Coturnix japonica: one gene and its partners. The main gene of each other region encodes a partner of the protein of the gene in region 2 in a complex. Links are inferred from orthologs where the notes say so. Each region holds a gene or a part of one and is shown on either strand. Other genes may lie near its edges. The genes, in order: ORMDL3, SPTSSA and SPTLC3.

Region 1 (9,891 bases), on a different chromosome or scaffold from region 2:
GAGCCGGGCTCTGCCTTCCCTCCGCTCCCCGCAGCCCGGGGCTGCCCCCGTTCCCCACCGCCCCAGAGAGAGCGGAATCGCTCCCCGGTTCTTCCCCCTCCGCCACGGAGCGTGACCCCCCCCTGCCCGCCGCCTCCCGTCGGCACCGGCATCGTTTACTCGGGGAAACCCGAGCCGCGGCGGGCAGCGAGGCGGGCGGAGCCCTGCGGGTACCGGTGCGGGTCCCCAGCCCTGCCGCGAGCCGCCCAGCCCGGGGTTCGGTGGACCGGCGAGTGGACCGGCACCGGGGCCGGCTCAGGACCATGGAGAGCGGCCGCCGTTACCGGGCTCCGGTGCTCCGGTCCGGGGCCGCCCCCAGCGGGCAGCTGGTACCGGGGCTCGTCCCTACGGCACACCGGGCTCCGGGGACGTGGGGCCGAAGGCCGTGCCCTTGCCGTGCTGCCAACAAGGACGTCGGTCCGCGGCTCTCCTTGGTGAGACCGTGCGCTGAGACTCCCCCGCTGCTCGGGGAGGATAAACGGGTTACGAGGCGCCTGGGCTGCGTCTCGGCCCCATTAGCAGAACACAACCTGACGGCAGCCGCCCCGAGCGCAGCACGGCTGGAGCCAGGCCCGGTGCGGGGCTGCCAGTGCGGGTCTGTGGGCCCAGAGGTCGACACACACCGTGTGGGTCCGCTCCCATCCGGTGCTGGCAGGAGGAAGATCCGTGTCCCCACCTGAGGCTGGAGCAGAGACCCACACTGTGCTGGGATGGGGCCGGGACTGAAGCTGGGGAAGCACTGGCTGCTCCCAGGCCCTCAGCCCATTCATCTCTCCCTGCTTGGCTGGAGAAGCCCCATTCACCCCAGCAGCGATGCCACAGGGTCTCCATCCTTCCCACACCACGCAGAGCCCAAAAACTCGAGGCTGCAGTGCAGCACAGCCCTGTGCAGACCCCTTCCCATCGCTGCAGCGGCACGGCTGGCTAAAATCAGCCAGCATCAGCTCCTCCCTGCCACCACGGCTCTATAGAGCCAGCATCGAGCCGGCAGTGGGGCCAGCAAACAGAAGGGGAGTGTGGATCCCACTGCACACTCCAAGCATTGGCCCTAATCCCCCCCCCCAAGGACAACTGCACCCCCAAACGCTGGGGTTCCCTGGGAGGGGGGGGATAAATGCAGGCTGGGGAGCCCAGGGAGAGGATGCCCGCCCTGCACTCCCACCAGCAGCGAGAGAAGCTGCTGCAGCATCACCGAGTGGGATTAATATTTATGGGCGTTTAAAAATAGCCGCCGCATTGTGCTTCCCCCTCACGTGCGGAGTCAGCGGGGTGTGGGGAAGCTGCTAAATTAGATGTCACCGCGCAGAGGGAGCTGCTCAGCCAGGCAGGAGAGGGGATAAAAATAGAGCTGCCGTGTGCGTGGCTCCCCTGCAAAGCAGGGCTGCTCCCGAGGGATCCCGCCTCCGCTACAGCATCCCTGCAGCACCGGGAGGATGCGGGTGGGTTTTCCAGGTCCCCACAAGGCCGAGGTCCTCCAGGAGCAGCCGGCAGGGGAAGCTGTGGCTGTGGGCAGGGAGATGCTGCTGTGTGATGCTCAGGATGCCCCGGTCCCACCCAGCAGCAGCGATGTGCCGGATCCATCCTCCGGCCCATGAGGGCGCACACGAGGCGCTCAGCTCTACGAGCAGCTGGTGGGGGGGGGGGGGTTGGGGGCTTCAGCACCGAACGACCCCAAAGCTGCCTGAAAAAGACCCCGCCGAGCGGCTCCGCCGTTCTGCACCCTCCGCTGCTCCCCGGCAGGAGCTGAGCGTGCACAAAGCCTGCACAGATGGCTGCACGTGGGGAGAGCAGCGATGGCTGCGCTGACAAAGGCCGGGGACAGATGGTACCCAACAATGCAGCCCCCGGCCCTCAGCCATGCATGGTGCAGTGCATGCACCGAGCTGCGGGGTCACTGAGCACAGATAGCACGGATAGCAGGGCTGCAGGTGCTGAGGTGACCGCATCCCTCCATGCACAAAATGCAGGGGATCCGAAATGCCGACAGCTGGAGCCGATATCCCGATATTCCCACCCAAAACTCCAATGAACCCCAAGAGCTAAAGCTGCTCAGCCAGCAGCACACAGTGCACTATGTCCAGTGGGTATAACTCAGTATAACTCTGCATCACTCTCTTCCCTGGTTAATCCGCAAATTAACTCCATTTCCATGTTACACCCGAACACCGCGCGGTGCTTCACGCATCACGGGCCGTTAATTATGGCTACAACAAGAGAAGCGAACCAACACCGGAGCAGAACACGCACAGCACCGACCCCAAAGGGCACAAGGACCCCCCGGCCGCCCCGCTGTACCGTCACGGCGCAGCGCTGCCCCGCACAGCTCCGCTCCCGCACCGCCCCCCTCCATCCCCGCACGGCGCTGCCGCACTACAGCTCCCGTGGTGCCGGGCGGCGGGGCGGGCCGTGCCGAGGTGTCCGCCGGGAGAACGGCGGAGATCCCGGGCCGAGCCGGGGCTGGAGGATCCGGGCCGGGCGGTGAGTGCGGGCCGGGTGCGGGACCGGCCGGTTGTGCGGGGCACGCGGTGCAGCTCCGCGCTGCGGGGCCGTCGGGGATGGGAGACGGGGAGGGTCGGGCGGTGGGAGCGGGGCTCGGTGGGCGCTGCGGGGCAGAGGGCCGAGCCGTGCCGTGCCGTGCCGAGCCGTTCCGTTCCGTTCCGTTCCGTGCTGTGCCGTGCTGTGCCGTGCCGTGTTGTGCCGTGCCGTGCTGTGCCGTGCCGTGCCGCTGTTGGGATGCGGCCAGGGCTTTGTGTGCAGCTCCGGGTCGCACCGAGCTCGTTCACTTGTAGCGCTTCCTTTGTGTGCGGAGTTTCCCACCCCGCGGCCGTTTCCCACCGCCGTCCGATCCCGGCCGTGTTTGCTGCCGTCTCCGATCCGCCCGTTCAAACGGCGTTGCCATCTTGCAAAGAAAGGCTTTGAAATACTCGTTCTCTCGGGAGTTGGGGATTTGCTGCTGCCAGAGATTGGGATCGCGGCTCCGGCCGTCGGATCAGAATCTCCTGCGTGGCTGGGAACGAGCAGATCGACCGAGATAAGCACCTGCCGCCCTCCCCATCTCTGCAGCGCTCTGATCAAGCCCCGAGCAGGAGCTGCGGAGCCAGCACAGCAACCGGGGTGATGTGTTTGTTGGGTGGCAGAACGGAGCAGGAGGAGGGGATGCTCCTTTGGGGGCAAAGCAGGAGGTGAGGGATGCACGGGCTGCTCTATGGGGGCTGCTGGTGTCAGTTGTGCCACAGGGCAGAACAGCAGCGGGACCCGTGTGTGTGTCAGTGTGAGCAGTGAGGAAAGGCCCCAATCCCCCATGGCAGGGCTCTGCTCACATCCAGCTGTGCTCAGCACAGACGTCAGCACGGCGCTGACCTTCACCCTCAGCCTGGGGGAACGTTGCCCTGCCAGGACCCAACACTGCACAGCTGGGAAGTTGCAGCTCAGAGCAGTGCAGCTCCTGGACGTCCTCCTGCTTTTGTGGTTGGCTTTGGGGTTTCTTTCTGTCTGCAGGTGAATAAATCCCCAGTGTAAAATCAGAGAGCAAACGAGGAGGGATCTGGGCTGGGGGCGGGGAGCTGTGCATGGGAGCTGTGTTTGTTTGGGAGCTGTGTTTGGGAGCTTGCTCTCAGCCGGGCTTGTGCAATAACGTGCAAAGCTCAGTGTGCAATCTGAAGTGAGCAAAGAGCTCAGGCCAGGGCTGCAAACACGAGTCTGGAAATGGAAAAAGATTCAACAAGGAAAGGCTTTTTGAAGCTGGAAAAGGCCAAATTGGAAGAACACAAAGTGTTATCGCGTGGCCTAATGCTTGACCTCCCCACTGCTCTCTTGCAAGAACAAATTAACCTCCTGTGCTGTATTAATGAGAGCTTCACCACCCCAATCACTGCAGTGAGTGAGGAAACTGAGGCAGAGGAGAATTGCTTCACATTCAGCTTTGCCCTTTGCCACCCCACTGCAGTGCACAGCTGCCCTGCTTGGCAGACAGCAGCACGGAGCAGTTGCTCATTGGTTTTTAGTGCCATTAGAGCCATGGTTCATCCCAGACAGAAGCTGCACTTTATCCCACATCAGCTCTGTGTTCCTGCATTGCTCTGAACTTCCATTGCACACTTCACCCCACGTTTGGTCCCCATTCTCTGCAGGGATCCTTCATGCATTTGGGGTCCATCCATTAGCTCTCCTTTGAGTGTTCTCTAGACTAAACAAAGCCGTTTCCTCCGGCGTGGCCTTGCAGGTCATGTTTTTCCTACACCTCTGCTCATTCTCACAGCTCTGCCCTGGACTCCCTCCAGCAGAACTGGACATTACTCCAGCTGAGGCCTCACCAATATCTGGGAGGATTATTTCTCCTGTCTGGCAGGCAGCTCTCCTGTTTACGCATTCCACAGCGGTGGTTGCTTTTCTTCCTTCCCTTTTTCCCTTTCCCCCCATAGTGGGACATCTTCACCTCCTCTTACACTTCAGCACAACCCCCATGTTTCCTTCTGAGAGCCATTCAGGGCTGTGGCCACACTGAGGATGGAGCTGCTCTCCCAGCACTGACCTCCAGCTCCAATCCTGCCCCCCTGCCAGGCTGCTTTGTACCCAGAGCTGACAGCCACTAACCCAACAACCTGCAGATCCAGAGGCTCTTTCCTCCTAAACACAAACCTATTCCAGACCTGAAGCTCCCTGAGTGGCAGTAGAGACATGGGAGCATCCATCAGCTCAGCAGTGAGCATCCCAGAGCTGCACACGTGCTGTGTGAGTGAGCAGCAGGCAGGCTCAGAGCACAGCAGCTGCTGAAACAAACCAGGCCCAGCACTTAGAAAGGGAACTCGGAGTAGCTGGCAGGAACATCCAGAGCATAATGTCAGATCTGGCGTGGACTCGCCTCCTGAGACCAAGAGCTGGACAGAACAGCAGCTTGCTTTGGTTTTCAGCTGTGGAAAGCAAAGCAGCAAAAGCACGAGGCTGAACATCAGGGAGAAGTCATTGCTTTGGGATCTGCTGTGCAAGGGACAGGCTGTATTATTTCCTTGGGAAACAGGCTGAGTGTTTTATGCAAGACCTTCCCTGATCTCTGTGCAAAGATATCCTGCATTACAGCAGCTCTTTCCTGTAATCCCTGATCATTGGTAAGACAGCTCTCAGCTCCCCAGTAAGCTGTGAAACATGGATGAAAACAGTGACCTGAGCACGGACCTGCCTCTGGTTTTGTTTCAGAGGGGTGAAAACAAGAGCCAATATGAACGTGGGAACAGCACACAGCGAGGTGAACCCCAACACCCGCGTGATGAACAGCCGGGGCATCTGGCTGTCCTACATCCTTGGCATTGGGCTGCTGCACGTCGTGCTCCTGAGCATCCCCTTCTTCAGCGTCCCCGTGGTTTGGACTCTTACCAACATCATTCACAACATGGTAAGCCAACCCCAGCTCAAAGAGGCAAAATACTTTGGAGCTGTGGCCATCAATTTCGTGTCCTTTATGTTAACATCTGAGAGCATTGCAGTGGTGAATCCATCCTTGGGATTGCTTGTCTTATCTCCAGTGATATAAAAATACATGAACACATAAACCCAGAGCTATGACTGCTGGGGGCTGAGTGCAGCACAGCCGCCTGCATTTCACCCAGCTCCTTGCCCTGCTCAACCTTTGGCCTTGGGAACAGAGGGGAGCTGAGGGCAGCGAGGGCTGTGTGTTAAAGACATGTCTGAGCCCAACATTGCTTATCTATAAGACAGCAACGCATCCTTTCTGCCTTTTAGACAGCACTGAGCATTGCTGCTGCACAGTGCAATAATCCCGAGTGCTGTAATCTCACAGCTCCCTTTGCTTACAGCCCAGACAGGCGTTGCTCTTAGCAGCCAAGGCAGAGCCAGCTCAGCTTCCTGTGGCTGCTTTGGGTTCACAGCGCTGGTGATGCATCCCTCTAGCGGAGCAAAGTGCTGCTGCAATCTTACACAGCCCCTCATTACTCTGCTCCCCTGTCTGAAGCTGAACCATTGCTGGGGGGGGGGGCTGTAACACCACTCACATCTCACCCTGCATTTGTGTTCTCTGCAGAGCATGTACATCTTCCTACACACGGTGAAAGGAACCCCTTTTGAGACGCCAGACCAGGGCAAGGCGAGGCTGCTCACGCACTGGGAGCAGATTGACTATGGCGTGCAGTTCACAGCATCCCGCAAGTTCCTGACCATCATGCCCATCGTGCTGTGAGTGCTGCAGGGGAGCAAAGCAAGCGGGAGGCAGAGCACACGGCGTGCTGTCATTCAGTGTCTCTTTGCATTCTCTCTTTCTCTGCAGGTATTTTCTAACCAGCTTTTACACCAAGTACGACCGGATACACTTCGTCATCAACACCATCTCCCTGATGAGCGTCCTGATCCCCAAACTGCCTCAGTTCCATGGAGTGCGGATCTTTGGGATCAACAAGTACTGAAGCAGATGGAGGAGCAGTGGAGCTCATGGAGGTTCCTCCTCCCTGCTCCCGTCCCCCCCCTGCCCACACACACTGGGATAGTTTCACAGCAGCTGTTTTAAACGCAGTACCCAATAGACATACACCGCATGCTGGATCCTCATGCCCAATAAACCTAAAGAAGCTCCAGAGTAGAGTTTAGCCAGGAGCAGGATGCTGGGCTTCTTTTATTCCAGCATCATCATTAGATGCAGATACACCGAGACTCCAAGGTACAACGAGGATGAATCGTGGGAAGGTTTTCATCTATCCCAGATGCGATGAGAACAGGGGTGAGGGGGAAAGCTTTTAGTGCTGGTACTATTGCTGTGGTAAATGCACTTTAACATTACTTCCCTTTCTGAAGCTTTGGTGCTTTAAAGCGATCCGCGGGGAAATGGAAAGGGACGCAGCCAAACTCTCCCATTATTTGATGGTTTCGGGTTTTGGTTCCATTTCTTGGGCAGAGGAAGAGAAGGGAGGGGAACAGAATGACACAGTTTGATGTCGAAAGCTTTTATGGCACCGAGGAAGGAAGCTGTTCTACTCAAAGCAGTAGAGGAAAGAAGAAACAGGCTGCGCTTTGAGACGACTGTCTGCTCCCTTCGGAACCATCCATCTGGGTCAGGGGAAGGTCCCAACTTGCAGCTGTTACTTCCAGCTTGGGTAACTTTGCCTCCCAACCCAAACTGCTCAGCTTGGGGATGAAGGGCTGAGGTGCAGCTCATTATAACGACTGAGGTGCCTGGGAGGAACCAAAGACTGATGGATTCAGACCATGTGAGAGCTGAACGGCTGCTTGAGAGCTGGGTGGCAGCGATTTGAGTTCTCCTCCTCCATCCATCCCCTCGGTCTCCTCAGCCCACGTAGCTGTTAATGAGATCTGCCAGCTCTCCAATGAACTCGGCATGAAAACCTCCACGAAGCACCGCAGACCCCCAGGGCTGATGGCTGCCAATGGGGAGGGAGCAGAGCAGCACCGAGGAGCAGCACCAGCAGCACTGACCTGCCCCAGAGAAGGGTGCTCAGGTCACCAAAGACAACAGATGGTTTTGTATAGGAATAAACTCAAGCCTTCATCCCCCTCCAACCACCGCTGGAACAAGGGAGGGTTGTGGGGCTGCAGGTTTGGGTTTCCTGGCTGAGATGCTTTTTTCTTGCAGGTTTTGTGCTGGATGAAATGTGGTTTTGCTGATGCTTTCCCTTCCACCAGCCTGCATTCTTTTGTTGTTGTCTCAGTGCTTACGTTGTCTCACGTTGGCAATGGTGAAGGCATTTTAAATGTGCTGGGTTTGTTCTTAATTAGCCAAGTCTGGCTTGAGAAGTCAAAGTGGATATTGAGTTCTGTATGAGGGTCTGGGCATAGGGCATAGAGAAGCTCCAAGATCTACTATATAAGATCTGGTAGTACTCCATGCATAGTATTAGGCTTTATTTCTATCCCGTACTTAGCAGGCTGCTGCAGTGAAGGGAGAAAACAGTTAACGTAGCTCAGAGCCATGCTGGGATGCATGGGGTCATTATTTAACAGTTGTTGAGCAATGGGAATGTTTTAAGTGCAAAGGAAGCCTTGAAGAAGGTGGAAGAAGAGCCGGGTTGGGATTTGAGCGCTGATCTCCAGTGAGAGTTTGGCAGAAGTTTGGGGTACCCGACAGGGTGGGGGTTAAACCACCACGACACAAGTGCTGCTGCTTGAGTTACGGTACTACAGACCCTAAAGCTGACGAACTCTTTAAGCTACCAGACAATGACTTTGGGGGGGGGGGGGAATACTTCATTTTCTTTCTTTTTTCTTCATAACAAACCTATTTTGTTCATCAGTGCTTTGGAAATTAGGAAGGGATGAACAGCACCAGGGCCTGGGATGCTCACGGACACAGGGCAGCCCAGCAGGTCTGAATGTCTGACAGCACATGAACCCATACCCCAGTGGTAAACCTCCAGGAGAAGAGACACTACTCCTTTAGGCATGATATGAAAGGGGGAAATAAAAGCTTTCTTGCAGCAAAAGTAGTTGTTATATTGAGGGTGCTTTGGCTTTTAACCTCGACTCCCATCCATAGGATGTATTGAGTGTACAAGTTACCCCAGCTCAGAGCAGTTTTGGGGCTCAGCTCAGTGTTGCTGCTGGGGTTTGGAGCCTGCATTATTTGTGCTGTTGGCTGACACGACGGACACCTGATTCTGTTCTGCTCCATGAAAGAGCATCAATAAAACAACATGGACTGGAATTACAGACTTCTGGCAAAGGCAGGTTTTCAAGCCCTGAGTCCAGAAGTTCTCATGGGACAAAGCCTTCATTATGATGGTAAACTTTCCCCACTTTGTTTAGCTGGAGTGGTTAACATAGAATTACACAGGTGTCCCCATTGGGGTTACATGGCAGATAGTACTGGCCCTTGATAAAGTGGGCAGCAGTTGTGTTACCATGATGGATGCATTGCTGTTTCTTACTGGGACTTCCATGTCTCTACCATTGAGTGGCATATATTTTAAGCATGCAGGCCTTTGCATTGCCTCGTCCTCCTTGGATCAATCTCAGCTCCATTAGTTTGGTGGGGCTGGTTTTGTTTGAACACAACGTTCTGCCATCGGACGGAGTTTTAGGGTTTGGGTTTGCTTTGTTGGTTTCTTTCTTCCAGCAGCCCTTCCTTTTTGCTGTGGATGCTGAAGTCTCGTGTAGGGAACTTTCTAAAACAAAGTGTGAATATTTTTATTACTCCTTTGTAAAGCCTTCTAAGAGAAACTAATAAAGTGAGTATTCATGTAATAACCAGCCTTCAGCTCCTTGCATTCCCACATGGGCACTTCTGCTCATTGATGCTCACTGTGGCCGCAGCCCAACCAGGATGTGGCAGAGCTGGAACCTCATGGACTGCAGAGCTGGAGGGGCCAGAAGGGACCCCCCCAGTCCAACTCCAACCCCCAGCTGAGCATCACAGAATTGCTCAGGTTGCAAAAGACCTCCAAGGTCATCAAATCCAACCACAACCCAACCGTGCTACGTTAACCAGCACGCCCTGCTCCTCATCCCTGCATAACTGCCAAACAACCACAACAGAAGCAAAGTCCTACAGCCCAGGAACAAGGTACACAGGGATCGAGTGCAAAGTGCCCACAGCTGCTGGAACAGCACGACAGCAGAAGTGACGGCGAGAAAAGTTCAGGGCTGGGGTTATATCAGTTCTTCTTTCCTTATCGGGCAGGCAGTTCCGGGCTGGCAGGAGGCTCACATAGCAAAGCCAGTAAGTACAGGAGGCAGTGCAAGCATTGCAAGCACTGCAGGCATTGCAAGCACTGCAAGCATTGCAAGCATTGCAAGCATTGCAAGCACTGCAGGCACCGCAACCAGCTGGTCCCACTCCTGCAGCACAGAGCCCCACATCCCCCCACAGGCTCCAGGTAAGAGCTGCCCCACGGA
Region 2 (10,095 bases):
CGCCATGGAGATGAAGAACAAGGAAGAACTTCAGCATAGTGGATAAAGGAATATGTTTAAAAAATGAGACTAAACTAGAAGTTCATTTTGGATGTTGTGGATGCCTCATCTCTGGAGGCATTCAGGGCCAGGCTGGATGTGGCTCTGGGCAGCCTGGTCTAGTGGTTGGTGACCCTGCATATTGCAGAGGGGTTGAAACTACATGATCATTATGGTCCCTTTCAGCCCAGGCCATTGTATGATTCTATGATGTATACTTTTTTCTAATTACGTTGGCTTCATGGTTAGAGGAAGAGTTATTTCAGTGTAGTTATTATTTTCATGTTAATGTGTCTTTTAGGAGAGGGTTAAGCAAAGTCAAGACAGTACATCATTTCTTGGTTTGAGTATTAGCAGTTGTGTTTTTGAATATAATTATGTTAAGTAGAACCTGGAAAGCATTTAGGTGTGAATTCATAGCATGTTTTGCTATTCTCCAGAGTTTCACTGCACTACAACCCTAATTACTACTGCTAGCGTGGGCAGAAGATGAGCCTTTGTATTTTGAATAAAGGAGAAAGAAATTCTGTGAAGTGAGGAATAAACTGCTTCTAATTTATTGAGTACTTTTGCTGATTGAAAATGAAATTCCCCAGCAGCCTGAAGTCATCTCAGTGTTGGGTGCTGTTTCCCACTCTCTTTCCTTAGCTGGTTCTGGAATTCCTTGACTCTTTTCTATAGTTAAGTATTTCACTTTGCTGAGCTGACAGAAAACTGTCCATTTTTATTGTCAGACTGATCCTATGTGGGTTCAAAAAACTAACATAGCTCAGTTTGCCATTAGACAAGCCTTGAAAGTCAAGATAGGTCTTCTGCAGCCAATGATGCTGGTTTAGGCTGCTCTGAAACTGCAGCTGTAGAGGTGTGTTAATGCAGACCTGAAATGTGCTAATTACTCCAGCTGTGCAGTTGATACACAGATGACTGCTGAAAAACATACTTTATTATAGACTGGATTTTCAAAATGTGACGTGTCATTGTTTATTATACAGAGTTTCAAGCTTGAAATGTTTTAGGTTATAAATACCCATATTTGAGTCACTTGCATTCACAACTTCAAGTTCTTTGCCTACCAATCATTAGCTCTGAACAGCCATGCATCATTTTGTAGTACCAAGATGCACTCCAGGGGTGCTTATTTCAGTGAGAACCAGTGTGTTTTTAAACATGTTCCTCAAGACCAAGACAGCTTCAATTCTTTCTGTGATGTTTTATAGTTGGGCCTGTTGTTCTGTTTCTAAAACTTGATATTTCTATAGCTTTCAGCCATTTGCAATGGCACTTCCTATCTCTAATCCGATTTCCAGAGATGATAACTTATTTTGTGGAAGCAGAGTTTTTACCAGTGGCATGACTTGCATTTTCTCCTCTTCTCCCTAGACACGAATCTTACAAAACACAATACAGGGCGATGTTTGTGATGAACTGCTTTGTTAACAAAGAGGAAATCCTGAAATACAGAAAGAAGGAAAAGAAAAGAAACAAGAAGAGGAAACACAGTGAAGAAACTACTACTCCTGTACAGTCAAATCAAGAAGAGGAGGAAGTGTATCATCCAGTATTATGTACTGAGTGCTCAACTGAAGTGGCAGTGATGGATAAAGATGAAGTGTTTCACTTCTTCAATGTTCTAGCCAGCCACAGCTAATATGCAAAAGCAGGAAAAAAAAGGGCTCTGTTTAAGACTGTGTGAAGTATCAGAAGTGCAGGCACATCCATCTTTTTAAAATATGTTCTCTTAAATGTACATTTCTATCAGATAGCTTTATAGTGGTTGGATTTCTGACACTATTCCTGTATTCCTTTTTTATGAAGGGAATCCTGTTAACTGCTTGCATTTGAGAGCGATATTCTTCTACACTGTCAGGTGGTCGCGTTGTCAAGGATTTAATGTTTTGTAAATACAGTGTAAAATCTGTGTATTATGATCATTCCCTGTGTATGTACTGTCCAGTACCTCAGTGTGTATTAAAACTACTGCTTAGAATAAATACTGTATCAGCTGGTTCCCCTTAGCTGCATTGGTTGTTTCTATGGAATGGAAACTATTCTATTCAATGGAACTGTTAAACTTGGTAGCTCTCAGTGAGGATTTTGGGCTTAAGACAAGATTTCTATATCATTTTTACTACCTATGGTCTGACTGGCACATTGGCAGAAATGATGCCATCTGAAGTGGGATAGACTATTACTACATGCTTTAAGCCTGGAGGCATATAGGGAAAATTTTGCTTAGTAACACTGTGGAGGAGCAGATGTAATGGAGGCTGTACTCTGCTGTAGGGCATACTGGCCTCAGTGCAAACTGTCTTCACAGTCCAGGTGATGCATGAAAGCTATTTAGTGTCAGGGTAAGATTGTTGCACTGAGCTGCTGAAAACAGGAGAATGAGGATGTTGTTCAGGGGCTCAAAAGTCAGTGCAGGTGGTAGCAGGAGGAGCAATTGTTGATGGCAATTCTTAAGCAGGAGTAAGATGAAGATAGTGAAGAATGAGACACTCACTATACGGAGGAATAGTGTCCATTTATTAAGGGGCTAACTAGCAAAAGCTGCCTTCTGAGTATGCACCAAATTGAAACGGTGTAAGGACCTGGACAAACAGCTGGTGGATGTGGCAGGAAATGGTGAAGCTGGCATGCTTCCACATTACCTTTCTTCTTATCTCAAGTGCTTGCTGCTGCTTCTTGCTCGCCCGAATTGCAGTTCCTGTTTTCATGAGACATGGGAGCAGGAGAGACTGGGAGATGTTTGCTTCATATCGATACTGCTCTTGCAGCTGTGCAAGGCTGTAGTGCTTTAGATGTGCTAAAAACCCCACCTGTCCTTGGACTTCATGTGCTTATTTAGAAAAGTAGTTTTCATCATGGCTGCAGATCTTTCAAGCAGTGTCAACAACACAAGACTCCTCCAGTGTCAATTACAACAAGCAACAGCTGTCTTGGGTAGGGGCAACAGCTGCTGTAGCCAGCTATGTGGGGGTATTGAATCGTATAAATACGCTCGTTTCTTCTTGTGCTGAAATAAATTGATCTAGATATATTATGTCTGAATGTATTCTAGCTGGATTAAAACCCGTATCAGATCTTTCCACATAAATTACGACAGTGTTTGGTTGTCTCTGCCAGCTAGTTTTCTTTTGCACAGTTATCTCCTGGTGCTGTAGGTGCAATTCACAGCTCTGTAAATAATTAATATGAGCACCCTGCTGTGACTGTATTTCCTTGCTTTCCACTGTGCTAACAGCACTGGTTAAATTAGGTGTGGGGCAGCTGCAAGACTAGGGTTGCACTAGAACTGACATAACGTAAAGCTGTTTTACTGAGCAGGATGATGGCAGAGGGCTGACAGCAGTTTCTCATCTGTGGTGCACACCTAGCATGTGCATGAGGCCTTTCCTGGTGGCCTGGCTCCAGCACACAGGGGTTGGTTGTACCTTGTACTTAATCGCGATGCTTGACTTCCCCACGTGTTGCTTTTCACTGGGTTTGTGTTCTAACTACTGCATTTGAAACTCAGTTGTCCACGTAAGCTGCCAAAAGTCAAAATAGCAGTTACAAGTTTCTAACACTGAAGCATCTGGCCCCAAACACCTCTCAGAAGGGCAAAGTTAGCAGCCATTATGGTAAAAAGTTGATCTTTTTGCCTCTTCCGCTGTTCCTGTGGGACTGATCTAGTCAGTCCATGTTGAAAGACTGCACATTTACCTGAGCAGTGGTTTTGGGTGGGCTTTGCCCTGAATACTAAAGGTACTGAAGCCGCCTGCAGAACCCTTTAACACATATGATGAATCACGTTGAACGCAATCTTCAGGTGATCTCTAATACCCAGTATGTCCATTTAAATGAAACAGGATGGGAGAAAATTGGGTGCAGCAGTCTTCCAGATATGACTCAGATCTGCTCACATGGTGACGGACAATCGTGTGATGTGATGTGATCTAAGCAGGATCAGGCTCGCGCATACAGCTGATTTATTCTGTAGGGGAAAATCAACGCGTTCTGCTACGGGGACTGAGAGTGGCTGGGTTTTGTAGTATGTGAAGCGAGCTTCTTCTGCGATCCGCAGAGACTGTTTTGTACGGGAATACAGGCAGCCTCACGGCCATTGTAACCGACTCCAGGACTGACTGTCAGTACCGTACACGCGCTGTGAGGACGGAGAGGAGACGGAGCCGAGTGTCCGCTCCCTCCGCCCCGCTTCCAGGGGCCGTGCGGGGCAGCCTCGGCGTTCAGTGTCCGCTCCCAACTCCGTCCGCTCCGGGGCGCTGCCGACCCGACCCGCGCCCCGCCCGCCTCGCAGCGCCTCCATTTCGGGAGGCCGCAGCCCGGGGCCGGGCCTCGCGCGGTGGGGCCAGTCGGCAGCGACGGCGGAGGGAGGCGGGTCCCGGGCAGCCACCGCCCCCGTCTCCGCTCGGCCTGGGCCCGGCGCAGGCGGCTCGGGGCCGGCGGCGGGTGGGGAGAGCGCGGTGCGCGCCATGGCGCTGGGCTCGGCCTGGAAGCAGATGTCGTGGCTGTACTACCAGTACTTGCTGATCACCTGTAGCTACGTGCTGGAGCCCTGGGAGCGCACCGTCTTCAGTATCCTTCTGCCGGCGGCGCGTGGCCTGTCGGGCGGGTAGCTCTGGGGCCGGGTGGGATGTGGACGGTGTCCCGGGGCTGTACCGAGGGCGGCGGGGAGCTGGGAGCGGTGTGCGGGGCTGGCGGGGCTGCAGCCGGTACGGGCGGAGCGGGGCCGGAGTCAGGGAGAGCCTTAGTGCCGGCGCGTGCCTTCTGTCACGGGCATCTGCACGGTCCGACCGCCTCTGCCCGGGGCCAAGTTTACATCCTGCCGTGCTTTCTCCTCAGCCTTTCTTTTATCATTATTATCTTTTTCTTATTCTTTTCTCTCCCGTAGAATTGCGGTAGTTATTTTTCCCCCCTGACTCTTCAGCTGGAGCACCATGGTTTCTGCTCAGCACAGCTCTTGAGTTAATTCTGTTTTGTCGTCTCGTGGAAAGTAAATGTGTGTGCTGGGGAGCTTTGGTTTGGGCTGCGCTGTGTCACACGCTGTTTGTTAGAAGAGCATTTAATCCTTGAGCCGGTGAATTTGTTTGTCTCTTCTGGAGTGGAAGAACTGGATAGATGCTAATGTGAGGCTTCTGTATGCAGACTACTTGTAGGCAAGCTTCCTCAACCAGCTCTGTCAGACTGGCACTGCGGTGTCCTAAGGGCTGTTATTTATTACCAGTGGTGTTCTTTGCGAGCGTGGCTGGTTTGATCTTGAGTTAAAATGATGTCTCATGAACGACCCTGAGCCATCTCCAGTTTATGCTGAGAGGCACAGAGACAAACCAGCCAAAACATTAACACTGCTTGCACCCATCAAGAAGGGTTTAATGGTGAAAAGCTGCTTTTCCTGGTTAGTTGTAAAGGAACTCATTATATAAGAGTGGTTTCCCAGGTTGTAGCTGGTTACAGGTTGCAGAGAGTTTTCTAATGTACACTTGGTAAAAGTGGAGTCATTACTATTTTTTGGCTTTCTCATTCTTACAGATGCACAGTGCTCAGCTATTGAGGCAGCGGTTTTTAGTTTCAGAGTACTCTGTTTCTGATTAGAACACCCAAATCTGTTTATGCTGTGTCTGTATCACTGAAAACACTCCATTTTTGCTTTCCTTACAACTAGATCAGTTATAAACAAATATATGTATTTTCCTTTCATATTAACTGGACAGCTTCTTAACTTGGACAAGGCATTTAAGTAGTTGACAGATGTGTGTGCATGTTTATAAAGTGCTTGTTTTGCAGTGAAGTGATCGTTGCTCCACTTAAAATAGTGTCCTGAGTATCCCAATATATTGTTTGCAGCATCAGATGAGCAGAACTGTCCCTGTCCTCAGAGGGAATGCTGTCACTGCTGGTGGGCCAAGTCTGCCAGGCACTGTGGTGCCTGGACCACACTGGACCACACAGGCACATGGCCTTGGAGCTGGCAGTCCAGAGACTTGCTGTGTGTATTTCCAGCTTATTGTATTCAAGAAGTGTAGGGAACACTGATACTGGAACGTAGATGTAGCATTGACCTTCATTTTAGTGTCTTGCATTGTGCAATCTTCTGGGACTAAAAATACACCCAGAAGCTGGCATGCTCTAATAAGCACCACATCTACCTCTTGGGGAAGTCAGTTACAGAGCCCTTGTTGCACACATGCTCTGGTTACTTTTCTCTAAGTTACAGAGCATGCACGGCTCCTCTGATTTCACCTGTGGAAACCTGAGTACTGTTATCAGTGTTATCGTGCTTGTTAATCTTCAGAGCTCTATATAGTGTTTCTGAATCTCTGCAGGTTATTGTTGAGAGTACAGCTCTTGAATTTCTAAAGTCTTAAACTTTGAGTGGCCTAATCTTTGAGTAGTCTGATGTTATAGTTTCTGTTAGATAAAGCCTTGAGAATCCTGGAGTATGACAAAGGTCTAGTTGTATGTTTACATTGTAAGCCATCTGACTTCTCTGACTTTCCATTTGGAGTTCAGCTGAATGAAGGGGTCATTGCTTAGCAGATGGCTTCATGTGAGATTTGTTTTGCAGCTCTGCCATAGTAAAATACCAGCAAGCATATATTTATTTACACGCACAGATTTATTCCAATCATGCTGATCCTATGAGGCATTGGGACTGAAATGTCTGGAAAGCTGTGTGTCACAATGTTGCCCATATTTTTCATTACCCTTGCAGCCTATTTTTTTTCCTAAGTGCTGTCAACACTTTAATGTAGCTCCTTGCCTGTGATAAAAGGTCTGAGCTGATAGAGCAGCAAACCAAATAATGTAGTGACTTAAAGCCTAGAGAACACTGTTTTCCTGGCTTTATGTTTGCAGTACAACTTTCATGCCAGATGTTTTGTGAACGATACATTAAATGTATTATGTCATTCTGTTCTGGTAAGTTGATACCAACATTTAATGCTTTCTGCTTAATAGTGAGTAAGCTGTGCACAAATATCAGCTCTTACTCAGTACAGGTACTCATATAATCCTTCTGTTTTTGCCTCTCCTTTTTTTTTTTCCTGATGGTTGACTTTTCTGCCTGACTGATTGTGCTGGCTACTGCAGGTATTGCTTAAGACCTTGGAGGATGTATGCGTAATTCATATATCCCCAGTGCCCATTTTCAGTCCCTTCTTCCTTCCCACGCTTCCGTCTGTACTGTTGTGTCTATGACAAGGCAGTGGATATCTTACAAAGCATCCTGCTGTAATTCACTTTATCACCCCTACCCATGCTCTGTTTTTCAGTGTTCTGTTGCTTCTTCCTACAGCTGTAACTGTTGAATACAGTTAGTACTTAAGATTTACAAATATAATGTTATGAGATAGGAAAAATGGTAGTGCTGTGCTTATATGACTTGTAATGTACTTCTGGTTTCAAATGCTTTCTTCCTTACCTGTCGTTCAGATTCAATGCTAGTTTCCATTGTTGGAATGGCACTGTACACGGGCTATGTGTTCATGCCTCAGCACATCATGGCGATATTGCACTACTTTGAGATTGTGCAGTGATGAAGAGTGTATGTTCAAGAAGTTATCGTGCTCTGAAATCTGGTCGACAAAGAAGAACGAACCTCTTAGTTTTAACAAGACTTCTACCGCTGTCCAAAAAGGAAAGACACAATGATGATTCTGAAGACTAGGAAACGAGATGTGTAGAGCAGGGGCATGAGATGTCCCCTATGTTGTGTTAATTCCTTTTGATTTTACAAGATATGCCCTTGTATAGTAGTTTTGTCTACCTTAACATTGTGATTGTACTTTGATATCAGTATTTTCTTAACTTTGTGACAGTTTCGATATTGCACTGTGAAAGCTTTTCTTAATTGTAATTTTGAGTAAATCTTAATTGCCTTCTATTTTTAATCAGAAAATCGTCTAATTAAATGGGGCTTAAAGCTTTTGCTATTGTATGGTATGTATTTGCCTGGGTATTTCTATCGATGCATTTTTGTAAGAAAATACATCTAGATTCATATTAGAGACATGGATATATTCGTCTAACACTATTTACACAGATTAGTTTGTACGACTGAACTCAGGTGTACCGTTTTCTTGTCCAAACTTTGTTCAACAGTATATTTGTGCGTATCACCTGAATTTGGAATTAGCAATGCTTTTGAGTTTCTGCGCTCCATGTGTTGGAGGAGAGTGAGAGAGGGAGAGAGAGCACTGTAGCAATGGAGGCTGCATTCTTTCTGCTTGAAGAAGTGCTGTGGTTGTGGTGTTTTCATAGTGGGAACAGAAGCACTTTGCTGACATAGGCCCACATAAAGCTTTGGGATAGTACTTTAAATCAACACTTTTTCTAACAACCAATTAAATTGTAATTTTACATAGTGCTTTGTTATGTTCTGTTGGTGATGGTTTTCTGCTAATATTCACTCAACAGTGTAACAGCCTATGTTTTAAAGGGGTTTTCTATCGCCGCTAGCGTTCCAAATGCGTTCTCTCTACAAATGACCAAAAGGGTTTTAAATGGACTCGAGTTACAACTACAGCAATAAGTAGCTGAAAACTTGACTGAAGTCCTGTCTTTTTTTTGTTTTAATTTTAATTTTTTTTAATAGGGGTTTTCTTCAGTTTTGTATACTGAAATGTAAGATGGTGCCAACCTGACTTTCTGAAGTTTTTTTCTTTTTGCTTGTTTGTTTAAAAAATAAAACTTTAAAAGCAGAGCTTTGCTGCAAAACTTTCTTTGAGCAGTTAGTTTGTTTCTGAATGTTGCTTGCTTTTCTCAGACCTGTAAAAAAATGAAGACTAGTACTTGACCAAAAATTGCAATTTAATGGCCTGGTAATAACGTGTACTGTTACATTTTTATGTGATTTTAATATTCTTTTAATGAGGAATTAAATAACAAGGAATTTTACCTAAGTTGTACAACTAAATTGTTCTATAAATACATTTTTAGGTTTATATGGCTAATGCACACAGATGGAACAAAAAAACCAACCTTTTTTCATTTAAGTACTTTATGCATCTCTGATGGAAACTCTGTCTTGGAGCTATAAATGGTGGGCCTTCTTAGGTGAACCAGAGCCTTACTGCCATTGGTAGAGGTCTCTCAGTAAATCAGTGCCTTGTTTAGGGTGGAATTTCTTGTGAAGATTACTTAAACTTTTAATTGCCATCTTTCACTTACCCCATGTCTGCATGAGAGGCCCAAGCAGCAGTGTTAATGATTTGGTAAATGTAATCCCGCCTTTCCTTATTTAAAGTCGGTGGAGCAAACATAGGCAGTTTTAAAGTGCATGCACACAGGTGCATAAGTATTTTAAAAATGGAGATAGTGATTAGTTAACGTTCTCTTTTTGAAGGGGTGTATTGTAAATTCATGCTGCCAGTGGGTTAAATTGGTACTGTGATGTTTCTTTGTGAACTACCATTGTGTTTCAGGCACATTACTGCTGAGATAGGGTTTTAGTTGCATGGGGGAAGGGAAGATGAGGCAAGAAAACAAACAAATAAATAAATAGCTCTGTGTTGTAGCATTTTAAAGGTTAAACATGATTTTTAATTGTGAAAGGTTTTATAAAAGGGCTTTGGTGTACTGACTTTTATTAGCTTTTTATTAGCTTTTATCTGCTTTTTGTTGAGAAAAATGGCTACCATCACCTTTAAACATTTGCATTATGTTAGACAGGGCTCCAGTGATATCATACTTGGATTCAATTTGCTAACTTGAGGAATCCTTTTTTTAGCAGTGTTTTTTAAATTATAAACCAAGAATTTCTTAGGAGCTTTGCACTGTTCACTTTGTCTCCTGATGCTTTGCTAAAGATGAAATTATTTCATTTACAAAATACTGTGTGTTTCTAGAGGTGTTTCTATAAGGAAGTATCTGCAGGGTGATTTTTGTAAAGGTGATCTAGTGAAGAGATGGATCAAGTACAATAATTATGAAGGAAAATGAGCGTTTCTTCTTCTTTTTAAGTAAAAATGCTGGTAGGAATTTAATCCATCATTAAATTTGAATAATAAATGAATCCTAAGGCTATGAAGTTGTTTCCCCACTGCAGTCTGCTTT
Region 3 (9,984 bases), on a different chromosome or scaffold from region 2:
TTCAGTAGCCCTCTGTTTGATGGGATGAAGCAGCAGATGACAGAAGCAGGACTACCTGGATGAAAATTGAGAGCAGCTCTGTTTATTCTAACTATGAATTCTATGTGGCAGCTTAAAATTTCTCTCCACTAGCAGCTGCCTTTCACTAGATTTGATTGTTGTTTGATTGGTTGAATCTGACTGTTATTTGTTTTCCTCCTAATTTCTATGTCACTGAGTGTACACATCACACACCACTAACAGATATTTTGATGTTTACTCTTTCTGTCCCCCCAAAGTCACAGATAGAAGCAGCATTGACGGAGGGGTAGGAGTGGCCCATAGAAACCTGTTGGAAATGCTCTAGAAGGTGAGGACTTCAGAAATTTAACATACAGTGTGAACAGCAGGCATTTAGTAATTTTTGCTGGGGAACAAGGCTACTTTTGATTTAATTCTGTCCCATGAACCTCAGACAGAGTTACTGCTTCAGTTCCTCAGCTCAAGTAAGGCTTGTAGTAGAGAACTGACTCAATAGTCTTATGCGTGCCATGCTGTTATGAGCCACCTGTATGGAATGAACCTGAGGATATGGCTGCATTACAGTAGGTAAAGCTACTGTAGGTTTTGATCTTGCTCTAGTGCTGTTACTTTCTGGAGGAATTATTCAATATTCATTCAGCGATTCATTTTCCTTTCCAATAGAAAATCCTGTTTGCCATAGCAATACCAGCAGGGACTCTGCTTCTCAAGTACAAAGCTCTCTCCTGCAGATGCACATTAGGATGTAAGTTGAACTTCAGAAATGTGTTTTATGGCAGGAAGCTTCTATGGTATAATAAGATGACAAATAAGGTATGCTATGAGCTCATTAACTGAGACTCTTGTAGTCCTCATCCGTTATGCTTTGGCTTCTCCTGTTGTTTTCCTTTTCTTTTGTCTATTCGTGCACTTTTGTTTAACTTAAAAAAAAAAAAAAAAGATTTTCTTGAGAAAGAAAAGGTTACAGGTGTGTAGATATATAAGGCTATTTTTAGCGTGCTGTTTCAACCATAGTTGAAAACAGCTGAAGGTGAAAGTGAATTCAGGCTGCTTCAGTGTTGGGGTGATGCAGACTGAACAGCTGCCAGATGCTTGCCTGGGATCTCTGCAGAATTTGCAGCCAGCAATCTAGTCTGCTTCTCAAGGAGAGTCATGTTAGAAAGAAGCAGATGATCCACCATCATCTGACCAATCTCCTTTTGGTTTCTTTTGTGGAAATATTGCTTCTGTTGCAAAAGTCACAAAGGTTCCTGCTCCAAAACCTGCTGCTTCCTCATCGATTGATACAAAGCATCTGCTATCTGTGCTGCTAGCTGGTAGATCCCAATTGTGATGTCCTGGCTTGGAATTTGGGGGGCTGATGACCAGATATTGGAGTACTTTGCTTGCTCTGAGGAAACACGCATTCCTCACCCAGGTGTCACCTGCCTGGAGCAGCTACATAGACTAACAACAGCTACCAAGGTAACCAAACCAAGGTAAATCCACTGAATAAACGTTTACATGAAAGAATGGGATACAGACAGTATGACCACATTAGACCAAAATCATACCAAAAAAACCCTAAAAAATGAATCCCGAGTCCCGACACCTTTATGAAAGTCTTAGCCAGTAAAGCTCCAAAGCAAATCATAATCCGGTAATTGGTGCTTTCTGCACCACCAGTTCTGTTTCTTGAAGCAGTAAATTCATCTTTGCATCTCTGTTTTAGAGAAAACCTCAGGGTCCTGCCTGCCTTTGCTAAAGCGTGAGTAACAGCAACAGAGGATGGCAATGCCTCAGCATCTCCTTGGGCAGCATAGGCAGCAGACCTTATGCAAGGTCTTATGGGATGCTCTGATACAAAAAGAAAAGGGAAAAAAAAAAAGTCATTATTTCTGCTTCATTTGTTATCAGCACATAAAGGTAAGACAGTATAAGGCAGTGTTAGAAGAGGAGTTAGGCAACTTCCCAGTGTTAGCACATTAGTCACCCTCCACACACTAAAGCAAAGGTCAGGGCAGGATTTACGTGGAGTCTGAGAGGAAAGAAGAAGCAGGTAAGCCCTGCTTAGTGGAGAGTCTTCTTTGCTGCCCTGAGGGTTGTCAATGACACATTTCATTTTGCAGATACTGGCAGTTATAAGAGTGAGGGCAGGATTCAGGATAAGTTGTCAGCCCATCCTTATTCTGAAATTGATGGAGAACAGTGGTCTGGAGTAGGGCTTGCTATTAGAAGTGTATGTTGGCTTGAGCAGGCCTTGTTCTGGGAGGAATGGTCTAGTTATATTCAGTGTTACCGCTGTCTGAGGTTAGGTTAAGAATTGCTTCAGAGTTTGTGGTGGGTCAGAGGAGTCTGAATAACATTTATGCAGTGTACGGGTTTGGGTTTGTTATTTTTTGCAAAGAATAAGATGGAGCAGCATGCGAGGGAATGTTTACGGAGGAGGGAAGTGAGTTCAGAATGCAGAGACAAAATGCAGGCAGAGCATTTCATTTGCTCAGCAAATCTTCCAAATCAATTTCAGACTGAAGGGTGCAGCTTCATCTTGTAGTCAAAACTATTTTGAAATCCACTCTTTTTCTCTCTGCTGCTGCTGGGGATCCAACTGTGTAATGATGGCTCAGTTTCATCTGCATTATTTTGGGAGCCAACAGTACTCCACAGCTTATTACTGTAGGACGGCTAAAGAAAGTTCTTTTCATTTGTATTCTAAATTCAGCTTCCCTGTCTGCAAGTACTCTGCTCTGGCATTAATACTTGTAAGACAAATAAAATAACAAAATTTGTACCTTTTGATTATGATTTAATGATTTTCTCTGTGTGATAATGGTCCCTGGAAGAGGCACAAGGTATAGGGATAGCTAGGTCCCGGAAGAGATCAAAGTTGGCTCTCCTAAAGTCCAGGGTAGCAATCCTACCCTTTGCTTTGCTTCTTCCCCTCAGGATCTTGAACTCCACTATCTCATGGTCACTACAACCCAAGCTGCCCCCAACCTTTACTTCCTTAACAAGTCCTTCCTTGTTAGTGAGAATAAGGTCCAGTAACACCCTTCCCCTCACTGGTTCCTCCACCACTTGCATCAGATGGTGCCCATCTATGTTGCAGCTCTGTTGCTTTCCCTGTGCAGGAAAATGCAGAGCCCCAGTTACAGCTTAGGGTATAGCTGCCTGTGTTCCCATGGTCCCTCCCCATGCTGCTGCACTGCTTTTCTTCTTGATGGGAAGAGTAATATTTTGTGACAAAGGTAGGGTTTTGTGACAGCAGCAGCAGAAACTGCTCTCCTTTCTGACTAGTCCTCTTGGAAAGATCTTTTAGGTCTAACTATCCAGGGGCTAAAATCAGTGCAGGACTTAACCAACGTGCCTTGGCTATTTGGATAAAATAGCCTAGTTCTGATTAGGTAAGGAATCATAAGATAAAGGGATTTCTTTTTCTCAGAACCGGGCATAGAATAGCAATGAAAAAAGCTGGATCAAATAGCCAAAGCCAGTATCTTCCCCCTCAGGCTTTCTTTCAGTTCCTTTGTAGCACATCAACTTAAAAGAGACTTAAACTCCGCTTTCTGAAGGTTGTAGATTGGGAGGTGAAAGCAGAAAAGAAAAAGGGAGATCGCAACTGCAGCCTCCTAGGAAATGCTGGTAACAACCTATCATCCATCCTCAGAGCTGGGGCTGGCAGTGTTTCTGCCTGTCCTTGTTCCTGTTGGTCTTTATCTAAATTATCTGCTGGCACATCCAAAAGGTGATGATGGTATGTGACACTGGGTGTGATGAGGTGTCTGCAGTGCGTTTCCCCTCTCTTAGTACTTGGGGAGGCTGCATGGGTAGAAGTAGGGGGGAAAGTGCTTTTTTGCTATGTTTTGTTCCTGATGTGTTAATCCTTTCCTGCTCACTGTGCTGTTCAGTCTGTGGGTCTGCAGATATACCTGTGCTTATTGTGCCAGCTTATTGCTTAAGGTATTTTGGTATCAAAAGTGGAGCACTGGTACAAAAAGCTGATTTTAATGTCCCCCTTATGTTAAGGAGCTATTCCCACTGAATGCCACAGAGATCTGTGCACCTGTTCCCCCCAGACAGGAAGAAACAACAGCCTTGAGTCTTCTGCTTCTGTGTTAGTTTGCTGTACAGTACCCAAAATACATGGGAGAGAACAACACAAATATTCTTACAGGTGTGACAACAAAAAAATAGAAAAAAATAAATCCCTCAAAGGGAAAAAGAAGGAGGGGGAATCAAAGAAGGAAGACTCAGATATTCTGTCAGGTATGTTTGTGTTGTTTGTTTTTTCAAAGGTTTTGTGAAAATGCACTTACTTAAAAGGAAAATTTGTTTTATTAACTTCTCTGTAGAATTAATATTCGCCCATAGAAAATGCAGCCTCCTCTAATTTTGGCTGTTTATCTCTCTTCATTTTGTGTGCATGTGTGTGAGTGAAATCTTGTACCCACTGAGCTTCCATAAAATTATATGATGCCTGGGTCCCTTACATCCTGTGTTCAGCACAAAGCAGGAACCCGAATGCTGCAGCTGGATGCACGATTGCTGATGTCCAGAATATCTGATGTGATATATGACTTGAAGAGGAGCAACGTTTTCTTCAGTAAAAGAGGTGAAATAAAAGGGTAAGTTTTAAAAGGTGAGTTTTCTTGCCTTCCTGCACACACACAAAACCGAAGGGCTCCCAGAGGAGAAGATACATAAATGAGCAAATGTTAATTGCTGAATGTCTCATTGATCACCACACAAGTGATGTGGATAGGTTGCTACTGAGGGGATTTGGGTTTATACAGGCTTTCTCCTTAGGGAACGTTTTCCCCAATTCTTGTCAGTGTTTCCCAGTAATGGGGTATGCTGCACGAAAAGCCCTACAGCCCTTATTTTATGCTGTAAAATAAATGTCCCCTGCTGTCCCAGTGGTGTTACAGGACATATCCTATGGGATAGCTATGTCCCTGTGTTTCCTGAGTTGGTGTTTTTCTATTTCTACTGAGCAAAAGGTACCAGGAACCACTGTCACCTCCTAGAGTGCCATTCCTGAACATGGGGATAGAACAGCCCCAGGTGAGATAGCAGTCAGCCATACCATCACCAATTGAGAAGCACAGAGCCACCCTTATCACTGCTCTCCTTGGCAGTGAATCCTTCTTCTTGTTTAAATGCCCCACACTTGCACAGGCGTCTATTGCTCTGGTCCTGATGTGATGCATGCTTAATGAGCTCTCCTGCAAAGAACACAGGGAGCTCAGCAGCCTTCAGCAGAGGCCACAAAGCTTGTTATTATATCTGTAATTGTGTGGGTTTTTTTGTTGGTGGTTTTTTTTTCCCATTTCTTTTTTACTATGCAGAGAGAAACATACTGGTGTTCCAAGCAGTAGTGACAGGATGATCCTGAATGAACAGAAGATGAATCAGTGGGTGAGCAGTTCCCTTAAGAGTACAAAGATGTTAAATTAGTTGAGTCTTGTACTGCTTTGAAGTTCACAGACATGACATTTTGGTGTTTTTATCACGTCTTTGCGTGTTTGAGCTACTGCTTAGTGAGGTAGATGCTGTCAAATCCTGATAAAGCAAACTCCGACGTCCTAAAGTCAAACAATGATATAATGCAACACGCAAAAACTATGAGCTGGGTTTGTTTTTTGTCCTTTTTAGTCACTTAGGATATCATTAATGACATCTGAGCATTTAACCACAGGGCTGTCACTGTTGTTTAAAACCAAGCTCAGGTAGTTATTTAGTTAACTCAAAGAGATTAAAAAAATGAAGACAACTCACATTTCCAAAGCTCTATATTTGCAAGGTAGCTTATATTTCACTCTGAAGGTACTTTGCTTTAATGTGCTTTGTCTTTTCCATATTCTGATGGGAAAAAAAAAAAAAAAATCAAATAATTTTGATACTCAATGTTGCAGATGAGATATTGTCTTTTCAGGTAGTGTAATTTCAGCTGTGTATCACAAGGTTTTATCACACTGTCTTGCTTAGGAAAATCCAGTCTTGCTTAGGTTATTTGTGTGCTACATCATTTTGAAGTATTTCAAGACAGTGCACTGTGAAGAGATCATCCGGAGGTGTTTGGCTGCTGTGTTGTAGGCTTCTGCTCTCTCATTGCTATGGGATGCGTGCACCTTCCAGCAGCACACTGAACACCAGGACTAACATCTGCCATGTTTTGTTTGCTTTCACATGCTCCCTCTGGGGGAAATGTATATGCAATGGATTGCCTGGTTTGGGTATGGCTTCTTCCTAAGGGAGTGGTTTGCTTTTATTTGTTTGGTGGTTTTGTTTTATTTTAATTTTCAAATCTGATTTGATTTCTTTGTAAGAAAGATTCATTCTTCTGCATTTCAGTGAGAAAAGGCAAAATGGATGAAATACACAGAGTGGTACCTGGAGAGGTTTGGAAATGTCCGTGTGCGTGGAGGGGGGTGTTCAGTTTTGTTGGTAATTCCTTCAGATTAGTCTGAACTTGGTAGGGATTTCTGTGCCAGAGGAGCTACAGTGCGAGAGCTCTGGGCTTGGATTCAGGCTCGCTGCAGAGGTCTGTGGCTGCCCAAAGGGAGATTTTCTGTCTGACAAACTGCAGCAGTGCGATGCAGCAAAGCAGGATCTGAGCAGGATCGCTCTGCCTGTGTCCTGCCTATGGGTGGTGTGTGGAGCTGGGGAGGAAGGGCTGTGTTACCACAGAGGTGGCAGATGTGCTTTGGGGCTGCAGGTCTCTATGCAGGAAGGGCTAACTTCAATTTTCTGGAAGCCTGAAACTTCAGCTCTGATGTGTAAATTCATCTCCTGCTAACTCAGATGTCAGTAGCTGCACGCTATCTGCATTGCTAACTATTGTGGTTGCTCACCGTTAACTTATCAAAGGAGATAAAAGGATGTAATTACAAAAAGTTATCTGTCACCAATGCCACTTTTTCAAATGTGACTCATTTTGCAGTGGAATTTAACAGCACCAAACAGACTGAGTGGAGGAGCAAACAGTTTAATTGTCCTTGAAAGTCAAATCAATTTGCCAGGGGACTGAGGAGCTTTCATGGGGTCAGTGTTGAGCTACTGTGGCCATTGATCATCAAGCTGCACTGGGGTGGTTGGGCCTTCAGTGCTGGTAAATGGATGCTCTCACCTCTAGCAGCAGTATCTTTGTACAGGAGTCATAGCTTTCTCCCTTGAAGGTGACAGTCAGCCAGTGGTGTTGCTGCCTTGTAAAATGGCACAGTGCACAAATTAACCGTTCCTAACTCCGGTGCTGCCTTACTTAGTAAACCAGACATAAATTATGAGTGTCCTTTGTGCATTTCAAGGTCTCAGATGCAGCTGCCAATACACACGGTAGTTGTAGAATGACTAGTGCAGGTATGCTCTAATCAGTTCTGCCAAAAAGACAGTGTATTATGTAAAACAGTTTCTTGCTTCCTAAAATCTCTGTGCAGTGTGCTAAACAAATACCTTCCCAGGATCATCACAGTTTTACTAACATTTCAAATGTTATTTATTTCTCGAAAATTATAGAGTCACAGAACCTCGTGGGTTGGGAGGGACCCAAAGCCCACCCATCCCCAACCCCCCACCAGCTCAGGTTGCCCATGGCCCACCAACCTGGCCTGGAGCACCTCCAGGGATGGGGCACCCACAGCTCTTGGCAGGAGTGCCAGGGCCTCACTGCCCTCCAAGTAAAGAATTCTCACCTATCATGTAATTTATGTCTCCCTCTTTTAGTTTAAAGCCATCCTCCCTGTCCCATGGCTATCAGACCATGTAAAAAGTCGGTCCCCTTCCTGCTTGTAAACTCCCTCTCAAGTACTAGAAGGCTTTAATGAGATCTCCCTGGAGCATTCTCTTCTCCCAGCTGTACAAGCCCAACTCTGTCAGCTTTCCTCATAGGAAAAGTGTTCCAGTCCTGTGACTAGTGCTGTAGTGACTGATTATCTGGAACTGATGGGACAGAGGACTGTGTCAGTGTGGTTATGAGGAAGAATGTGAACACTTTGGATAGGTTTGGATAGGATGAGACTGCCACGGGCAATTCATCCTTACAAACAGACTGGAGAGACAGGAATGAAAGGGATGAAAATAAAGGCCATGCAGGTACAGGCAAAATTTGAGATCAGTCTTAGCATAAGATTAACAAGAAGGCATTAGTTTACACTGGATGGATGAATGGATCTAGAGTAGCTCTTGGCAGCCTCCTCTGTAGGAAGCAGGAAAAGTGACCTCTTGCTTTCTGCCTTCCAGGGGCCAGTAAGGTATTTCCAGGGAAGCTCTACAATTTCCAGCCGGAGGACACACACTGAGCTTGAGCTTATTGCCTTGAACTGACTCCAGTGCGCTCAGGTGTGTGTTGCACAGCTTCTTTGATTGTGCTGTAAACAAGACGGGAAATTGCCAGTTAACTAATCTCAGTCAAAACTTACCCTCACTGAAGTACGAACTGAGCCGCCTGAAACGGGCACCAAATTATCCCTAAGAGTCCCCTGGAGCTTCAGATGCTTCTCATGTGTCCTTCTCTGTGGCGTTTCCACGTGCCTGCTATTTCAGCTGCTATTCACTGCTGCAGAGTCTGAGTCCTCAGGTCAGGGGAGTTTTGTCATTACCATGAGGACAGGCACAGGCTTCAAAAGCTGTTGTTGATTTTCAAATTAAAAAATCCTTATTAGCAGGGGGAATAAAATAAAAAAGTAAAAAAAAAGTTGAAACTTGCAAACAGAAAGCAATGAGAGGAGAATCACGTGCCTTTTGATCGTGATTATGCTTTCAGAAGCATATTGGCATAATGAGGGGATAATTACTAACTATGCTGGGTTCTGTTTTCACACATTTATGACGAATAGGCATGAGAGCGGGCAGGTTGTCACTGATTTGAGGTGAAGCTGTTCAGTCGGCACAAAGGAACCTAAACACCAGTAGGAAACAATTTGGCCTCCATAGTCTGCCTCTATGTTTCCAGTAGGACTAAACTTACTGACCAGCAGCAAAAGCAGATTGTGGAGATGCATCAGCAGTGCCCAGTTGTTGTATGTCTTTGTGACAGTAAAATAGTAAGTGTTAAAATACTAGAAGCTTCAAACCAAGCAGCTGCAGTGTCAAAAAGCGTTGTATCAACTTAGCTGTCTTCTTGCACGTGCACACAGAATATGAAGTCTTTTACCCAAATTTAAAGGGACTTGCACACAGATCCCATGTAGTTCGCCATTACAATGCATCCAGTCCAGAGTAACTTCAGCAGTTAACTGTCTCTTGAGGGACAGCACTGGACAGCAATGTTTCCATGAGAGAAAAAACTTCCAGCACTTGCTCTCACTACAGTCCTTCAATATGGAAAGGCACATCCTCTCTGCAACACTGCTCTCTACAGCCGCATGAAGGGAGGTTGCAATGAGGTGGCTGTTGGCCTCAAGTTGTGCTGGAGGGTGTGAGGGGGTCAGGCTGGATATTAGGAAGAATTTCTTAGAAGGAATGGTGAGGCATTGGAACAGGCTGCCCAGGAAGGTGGTGGAGTCACTGTCCCTGGAAGTGTTTAAGAACCACAGAGATGTAGCAATGAGGGTCATGGATAGTGAGCAATATTGGTGGTACTTGGACAGTTGGACTAGATGATCTTAGTGGTCTTTGCCAACCTTAAGGATTCCATGATGCTCATGTTGCTGCTAAGCACATTTGAAGGCCACTGGAAATCAAGCCCACGCCTCCCTGTAAAACTAGAACCTAATTTTCAGTCATGTAATTAGCCCTGGATAGCCTTAGCATATAACTTGAAATGCATGTTTTCTCTTTATATGGGTTAAAATCACTGAGGCTGACTATTTTCAAGCACGTACATCCCATGATCAGTCTTATAGATTTGCTCCAGATTGTTTTGCTTATTACAATTCCAGGTGGCTATGAGTTAATTAGCAAGCTACGTGTTTCAGGTTGCACTGTAGCTATACAGAAATAAATCACTTTTGAATACAGCGTGTGCAGATACTTGATGATGTGACA

What was found.
Region 1: the proteins of SPTSSA (region 2) and ORMDL3 are in contact, whole or in part, in a cryo-EM structure (PDB 7CQI), measured with the Homo sapiens proteins. The link is inferred for Coturnix japonica from reciprocal best matches to the Homo sapiens genes SPTSSA and ORMDL3. Residues at the interface, in NP_612145.2 of Homo sapiens: Ile44, Tyr50, Thr51, Val54, Phe55; in NP_001307730.1 of Homo sapiens: Val36, Leu38, Ser39, Ile40, Pro41, Phe42, Ser44.
Region 3: SPTSSA (region 2) and SPTLC3 share a complex: the UniProt entries of both Homo sapiens proteins name them as parts of the serine palmitoyltransferase (SPT) complex. The link is inferred for Coturnix japonica from reciprocal best matches to the Homo sapiens genes SPTSSA and SPTLC3.

Annotation. Positions count from the first base shown.
Region 1 is NC_029542.1:3,975,603-3,985,493, forward strand, and holds ORMDL3 (ORM1-like protein 3), read left to right. Parts: upstream 1-2,753; 5' UTR 2,754-3,156; coding exon 3,157-3,221; intron 3,222-5,232; coding exon 5,233-5,428; intron 5,429-6,073; coding exon 6,074-6,225; intron 6,226-6,316; coding exon 6,317-6,452; 3' UTR 6,453-9,240; downstream 9,241-9,891. UniProt on the Homo sapiens protein: Plays an essential role in the homeostatic regulation of sphingolipid de novo biosynthesis by modulating the activity of the serine palmitoyltransferase (SPT) in response to ceramide levels.
Region 2 is NC_029520.1:32,505,494-32,515,588, reverse strand, and holds SPTSSA (serine palmitoyltransferase small subunit A), read left to right. Parts: upstream 1-4,290; 5' UTR 4,291-4,514; coding exon 4,515-4,617; intron 4,618-7,473; coding exon 7,474-7,577; 3' UTR 7,578-8,937; downstream 8,938-10,095. Other genes in the region: EAPP (E2F-associated phosphoprotein), read left to right, coding at 1,420-1,687. UniProt on the Homo sapiens protein: Component of the serine palmitoyltransferase multisubunit enzyme (SPT) that catalyzes the initial and rate-limiting step in sphingolipid biosynthesis by condensing L-serine and activated acyl-CoA (most commonly palmitoyl-CoA) to form long-chain bases.
Region 3 is NC_029518.1:11,214,220-11,224,203, reverse strand, and holds the start of SPTLC3 (serine palmitoyltransferase 3), read left to right. Parts: upstream 1-3,646; 5' UTR 3,647-4,266; intron 4,267-4,503; 5' UTR 4,504-4,625; intron 4,626-9,984. UniProt on the Homo sapiens protein: Component of the serine palmitoyltransferase multisubunit enzyme (SPT) that catalyzes the initial and rate-limiting step in sphingolipid biosynthesis by condensing L-serine and activated acyl-CoA (most commonly palmitoyl-CoA) to form long-chain bases.